Linked DNA regions of Drosophila melanogaster. The protein of the gene in region 2 purifies or fractionates together with the protein of the main gene of each other region. This does not show direct contact. Each region holds a gene or a part of one and is shown on either strand. Other genes may lie near its edges.

The links. The genes of interacting proteins can lie anywhere in the genome.
Region 1: the proteins of Mfap1 (region 2) and Prp38 purify together in Drosophila melanogaster (affinity purification with mass spectrometry; 2 studies listed by BioGRID, with this or other methods). This does not show direct contact.

What each region holds. Positions count from the first base shown.
Region 1 is NT_033778.4:9,142,406-9,145,682, forward strand, and holds Prp38 (pre-mRNA processing factor 38), read left to right. Parts: upstream 1-1,550; 5' UTR 1,551-1,722; coding exon 1,723-2,715; 3' UTR 2,716-2,746; downstream 2,747-3,277. Other genes in the region: shrb (shrub), read right to left, coding at 210-250, 312-595, 654-831, 1,215-1,392; CG30344 (uncharacterized protein), read left to right, coding at 3,182-3,277. UniProt on the Drosophila melanogaster protein: Required for pre-mRNA splicing.
Region 2 is NT_037436.4:1,939,507-1,943,372, forward strand, and holds Mfap1 (Microfibril-associated protein 1), read left to right. Parts: upstream 1-1,561; 5' UTR 1,562-1,669; coding exon 1,670-1,748; intron 1,749-1,809; coding exon 1,810-2,731; intron 2,732-2,793; coding exon 2,794-3,229; 3' UTR 3,230-3,366; downstream 3,367-3,866. Other genes in the region: mu2 (mutator 2), read right to left, coding at 3,476-3,690, 3,747-3,866. UniProt on the Drosophila melanogaster protein: Required for pre-mRNA splicing.

The DNA.
Region 1 (3,277 bases), on a different chromosome or scaffold from region 2:
GCCTGACTATGCTTATTTCGTTTATTTTAAAATCACATTCCTAGTTTATGTACCATTTGTTGAATTGCCAAAGGAATTAATGCCTTGTATTCTCTCCCTCGCTTCGAACTAAAATTTTGCTTAATTAACAGCAGTATTGATTATTAAATTAAACAAAAACGATAGGGTGTATCTTCAGAACAGTAAGGAGATTTCAATAGCTCTCTGATTTAGTTGGACCAGGATAAAAGCTGCTTCATGTCTGGATCATCTGTAACGCAAGTTAATCGTTAATTACCAAACGTAGATCCACATGCAGTGACTGAACTCACCATCATCCTCCACGGCAGTCGTGGTTGTCGCCTTTTTCTTTTCTTTGGCCTTCTCGGGCAAATCTTCTGTGGGTGCTTCTGGCAATGTGGGCGTCGGCTCGGGTATGCCAATGATTTCCTTATCAAAGTTCTCCTGCTCCAGCTCGTCGAGTTCCCGCTCGAGATCCTCATCATCCAGATCGGCGCCGAATGCCACTGGGTTCGAAATGGCATCGGAAATCTCGCGGGCCACGTCCTGCTGCTCGGCAATGTCATCCATCATGTCGTGCACCTTGTCCACGTCCCTGCATAAAAGTGAAAGTTAGTTCCTGGTTGATACAATGGCACAAATCCATGACTCACATATTCTGATGGGCTCTCTTGAGGGCATCCGCGGCATTCTTCATCGTGGTCAAGACGGCAGTGTTTGTGTTGGCGCTCTCCAGAGCCTCGCGCTGCATTTCGATTGTGGACAGGGTGCCATCGATCTGCTGGAGTTGCTTCTCCAGCCGCTTCTTTTTCTTGAGTGCTTGCAGGGCCACTGAAAATGTGAGAAGTGGAGGAATTAGAAGGTTTCGAGGACTGGCTTATGTATATATCCGAAATATGATTTGGCCAATTCGCAATGCGTGCTTTGAAATTACTCTACTGCATGGCTTGAGTTTGTTTTGGGTATTAAAAGTAATGTTTATATTACGTTCTGAGCGATTTGCGGACACGTCCAGGCATCGAATGGTATGCGGGTGAAAAGGCAAAGAGATACATATTGTTTATTGAGTTTTCTATTTGCTGGCAGTATGGGATACTGATTAACTGGGAGCAGGCCTCGCGGCCGCAACAAAAACAAAGCAATGAGTCATTTCCCCTTGGCCCATTTGAGTGACCAACTAGGAAGCCAAGGACCTCGGCGCACTCCTCTCATACCTCTTTTGTTTTTAGACGCATTCTTGCGGGCTATATTCAGTTCGTCCTCGATCTTGGCCTCCAGGAACTCCTGCTTTTTGATAAGCATGTTCTCCGTCTCGCGCAGCTTCTGTATCGCCTCGCCGGTGGTGGGGGCCACTTCCTTCTTGCCGCCGAACATCTTCCCGAAGAAACTCATCCTGGCTGATCTGTTTTTTCACCCGAATTTAGCGAACAAGTGAGTTTTTTTCTGCTATTGCGTTTCTTGGTTGTCTGGGAGCTGTTGTTCGTATGCGTCACCCGATACCGATTGCCGTCCCCTATCGTTATCGCCTTTGTGTATGCGCTTGGCGGAGTGGCATATTTCTCCCTTACGCAGCTGGCCACTCTGGTTAGCAAACGCCGAAAAATAAATAAATATATTCGGTGCATTTTCACATTTTGCACTGCTGCCAATAGATACCCGAATTTCTGGATTGAAAAGTCCTATTTGAGTTACGATTGACAAGGAACAAGGGTTCAACTGAAAATGGCCAACCGCACGGTGAAGGAGGCCAAAAACGTGCACGGCACCAATCCGCAGTACCTCATCGAGAAGATCATCCGTTCGAGGATATACGACTCTAAGTACTGGAAGGAGCAATGCTTTGCTCTCACTGCGGAGCTTCTGGTGGACAAGGCAATGGAGCTGCGATTCGTCGGAGGCGTCTACGGCGGCAACATCAAGCCCACCCAGTTCCTCTGCCTCACACTCAAGATGCTGCAGATTCAGCCGGAAAAGGACATCGTAGTGGAGTTTATCAAGAACGAGGAGTTCAAGTACGTTCGAGCATTGGGAGCCTTCTATCTACGGCTCACAGGAGCTGCCCTGGACTGCTACAAGTACCTGGAGCCGTTGTACATAGACAATCGAAAGCTGCGCCGCCAGAATCGCGCCGGCCAGTTCGAGATTGTCTACATGGATGAGTACATTGACGAACTGCTGCGCAACGACCGTGTCTGCGACATTATACTGCCCCGCATCCAGAAGCGCTCCATTCTCGAGGAAAACAACGAAATCGAGCCCAAGGTGTCAGTGCTGGATGAGGACTTGGACGACGAACTGCCCAGCGACGAGGAGAAGGCAGACGAGACCAACCGGCCTAAGGAGAATTCGACAGCAGTGAGACGACCACGGAGAGTTCGCTCCAAGTCAAGGTCCCGCAGTCGGGAGCGCGAGCGAAGATCTGGGCAGGGCAACAGCGCCCGTTCCCGGGATTACTACGACGAACTGGAAGACTACGACCGCCAGCGAAATAGGGTGCGCAATCGGGACACCCACAACGAGGACTATGACCGTCGGCAAAACAATGGACGCCACGATCGCGAACGAGAGCGCCAAGATCGCGACAGTATCAGGGAGCGCGAGAGGGACGGCGACAGAGATCGCCGGGATAGGGAACGAGAGCGAGAACGTGACCGTGGCCGTCACGACCAGCGGGAACGGGACTCGCGAGGAGAGCGTGACCGACGACGCTACTAAAATTATAAATAAATTGAATTAATTAACCAGTAAAAAGTGTCAGAAAATTTAAACCACAAACTCTCAATTCGCCGCAAGTTGGCATCCCTAGCACTAAGAATCGAAAATCGAAATCAAAACAATAACACAGAAGAAGAAGAAGTCAATCAGCTGTTGCTGCTTGCATTTAGAAAGTTTCGAATAGAGTAACGTTAACTGCGGGAGAATCCAGCCAGCTGTACTTGTGAAAATAATACACGTACCAGGGATTTAAGCAACAATAAATCCACGTTAATCAGCAGTAAAGCAGCTGAAGCTTTAGTATCTGAAAACTCTCCGTCGCGTTTGGAAGACTTTCAGGGAACTGCGCAGCGTTCTGGTGAATGAATTGTAAATTCCATTATCTCCGGTAGACTGGTGTAAGCCAGACGCATCCACGAGTTCCGTTCTCGATAGCGAGCAAGTAGGAACGGAACGGAACGGCAGTATGCCTCGCTCTGATACGGAGGCTTTGGTGGCCGATGTGGAGACTGGCGAAGATTCGGCACCACGCATACTGGACGCATCATCTGCGGCCAGCAGT
Region 2 (3,866 bases):
AAGTGAAATGCGCTGTAAACAAACATAAAAGTTTAATTGCTGGTTCTTGGCCAGTTTGGGATTGCGTGATGTGTAAATATTTCCATTTGTCTCACCCTTTATTACTTTTTAAGTAACTCGAGTCACAAAGGCAAAAAGTGCGCCAATTAATAATGGAAACGATTATATCTTTCGTTTTTTGTACACTTGTCGCCTCGCCTCAATTGCTGGCTATGTGGTGTTTTACTTGGATAACGATAACGAGTTCGATCTGGTACGATTTTGATCAGGAATGACACTCTTTCTCCCGCTAATAGAAAATTATTTGTTTACAATTCCTGTGCGCCAGTGTGGGTGTTTAATTCTAATTGAAATGTATTCCCAGTTTGAATTTAAATTTGAACTGAAACGGCGCCGGTCAGTTCAAAAAGAGTTCAAATCGCAATAAATTGATAAATGTAAAATGTATGTACATATCTAGTATGTAGTGGCAAAAAGAAAGGGGGTCTCCAAATATTCAGCAGGTACTTCCCCCCAAGCGGAAAGTCACCAAATCGACGCCCATTTTTCTAAAGGTCAGTGAGTTAGCTAGGCAGATATGCACTTAAGCATGAAGCGTGTTGCATTAATTAAATATGCCCGCCATGTCGTTAACTAACAGTCTCATGTAAATCTTGGCCATTCAACTACCTCAGCCGACGAAAAGCAGTTAAAAGCAGTTCGGCAAATGCGTCTCGGTGTTTAGGCCCGAAACGATCCCATCCCATGCCATTCCAATTCCATTCCATTCCAAATCCCCATCCCCATCCATATCCAAAGCAAATCCAGCTAACTCTGTTCCTCGGATGCAAGTGGCCGAAGACGTCACAAAACTGGTCGAGCCCCTCGTCCGCCAAGTGGTTCTTTCGGACTTTGGTCCGGTTGGGTGGGTATCAAATCACATCACATCAGATCCGAACGGTTTTTCAAACATTACAAGACAATCTTCACACGTGCTGGCTGCGTGCTGTCGAAACTGAAAATACGCAATACCAATAAAAAGAATTTTGGATTCGATTCCGGCATTACACAAGATCAAGCACCCCTCCTCCGTCCTCCCTCTATCCATCGTATGGGAATTGGAGAAAGCGTAGTAGTCAATTAATTTACTAATGAGAGTGGGCGTTGACATTGCTAAAACACTTGTTTATAAAAACAGCACAGAAAAGAACATTTTCCTTTTCACCAAGGAACCCAATATATATGTTTAAATTTTTTGCAATCCAAAAAAGCTTAAATGAAAATGAATTTCTTACTTTCAATAGTTTTTTCCAATATATAGTTGTCTAACAATAAATTGCTCCATTTCTTTCTGTGTATTAATATTTTCAATTATCGAATGTCTCAATTAGTTGCTGGCCTTAATTCTGGCTTTGCGAAGTCATCGCACTTCCGTCATTGCAATTCAATATTCACCATATATATGTAGTAAAACTTTCTTAATATTTCAAATTGCGGGCCTTGTTCGATAGCGTTGCCACTCTGGTTTTGCTGAGCTGCATAGGCATCGATAATATTTGTAAGCAAAGTATCGATTATTTTCAGATACTTTTGTCCATCTCTAATTTACCATACTTTTATTTAGGAAATATTTACAAGGAATAAATACAAAGATTTGCTTATTACCCGTGGATTATAAGTTAAAACCACGATGAGTGCAGCCACCGCCGCCGCCGCCGCTTCTGGGATCCAGAGCACAGCGGGCGCCATTCCCATGCGCAATGAGAAAGGTAAACAGCGAAGCTCGATCCTCACCAGAAATTGTTTATAAGCTGCATATCTCTTCAATAGGTGAATTGTCCATGCAAAAGGTGAAGGTGCAGCGATACATATCCGGTAAGCGACCCGACTACGCCCGTGCGGACTCCAGTTCGGAGGAGAGCGACGACGATGACTTCATTGACACCAGGAAGCGCCTTGAGCGCCACAAGGCGGAACGGCATAAGCTGGAGCTCTCCCGTCAAGGCGGCAGCGCGGAGGGCGAAGAGCGGGCGGCGGGTGAGGGCCAGGAGGAGGACGATGCCGAGGTGGACGATCCACGCCTCCGAAGATTGCGGCAGCGACCCGTAGACATGGAGGACATGGAACGTGAGCGGAGGGAACGCCACCGACACATCCACGAACCGGAAATCATGGAGAGTGACAGCGAAGACGAGGAGGAAGACGAGGGAGCACAGGGAGCGATTCAGCGGGGCACCAATAAGATCACACTGGCATCCGAATCCGACACGGATGCGGAGCTCAGCGACACAGAGCTGGAGAACCGGCGCACCAAGCTGAGATCCCGCATGCTGCAGCAGCAGCGCGAGGAGGAGGTTCTACAGAAAGAGGATGAGAAACAGTCGGAATCGTCCGAATCAGAAAGCTCCGAGTACGAGGAGGAGACCGAAAGCGAGGAGGACAACGAACCCCGCCTGAAGCCGCTCTTCGTCCGAAAGAGAGATCGTGCCACCATCCAGGAGAAGGAGCGAGAGGCTCAGAAGCAGAAGCAGCTGGAGGCGGAGGCCAAGCGGGCAGCCAAGGAGCGCAGAAGAGCCACCCTGCGAATGGTCGAGGAGAGCGTCAAGAAAGATCTGGAGAAGACCAAGCCGGAGACCAATGAGGCCTGCATCGAGGACGTGTGCACGGACGACGAAAACGACGAGGTGGAATACGAGGCCTGGAAGCTGCGTGAACTCAAGCGAATGAAGCGGGATCGCGAGGAACGTGATAAGTAAGTGAACATCAAACTGCTCTTAGAATTCCTTTTTAACAATTCTTTCCCTTTTCTTTCAGCGTCGAACGCGAGAAGCTGGACATTGATCGCATGCGCAACATGACCGAAGAGGAGCGACGCCAGGAGCTGCGCCAGAACCCCAAGGTGGTCACCAACAAGGCCACCAAGGGCAAGTACAAGTTCCTGCAGAAGTACTATCATCGTGGTGCCTTCTACCTGGATGAGGAGAACGACGTCCTCAAGCGCGACTTCGCCCAGGCCACGCTGGAGGATCACTTCGATAAGACCATTCTGCCCAAGGTGATGCAGGTGAAGAACTTCGGCCGCTGCGGCCGCACCAAGTACACTCATTTAGTGGACCAGGACACCACCAAGTTCGACTCGCCCTGGTACGCCGAGTCATCCAGCAACATCAAGTTCCACAACGAACACGCCGGCGGCATGAGGCAGCAGTTTGACAAGCCCACCGGCTCGAAGCGAAAAAAGATGGAGTAGTGTTAGACGTATGTAATTGATGTATTTGACAGGCATTAGGAAAGTAACAAGTAAATATTGTGCGGCCACAGTTATGATGGAACCAAAACTTCATATACAAACAATTATATATAATACAAATATCATAAGTTTAAGGTATGAACGAGATTTCGTCTGGGACTTCGATGTGTGATGTACAATTTTGGAATAATGGCTAACGAATGATAACAAAAAGCGGAGAACACACAAAAAAAAAAACTATAACGTTTAAAGTTTGAGCGTGTGCTCCTGTAGCATTTCAATGTTGTGTTGAACGAGCGCCTGCATAACAGCCTCGGTTTTGATGAAGTGCACCTTTTCATAGTTGTTCAGACGTCGCTTAGATTTCGTATCCTTGCTGGTGGTGACCACGTACAGATCCACGCTGATGGCCAGCGAAGGCGGTTGGGCATGAACCTTGCCGCCGGCGCTGTGAATGATGACTGTGGGAGATTACCGATTAGCCACTAGTTGGAATAAGATTTCTAGTTAGGCTTGCCTTTCATTTCGTTGGCCTTTGGCACTATGTCTTTGCCGAGCATAAAGTGCAAGCCATACAGCAAGCGAGGGTGTTCCAGTACGGAGGAGGGTTTGAACTTGTAGGTCTCCTCGAACGTTG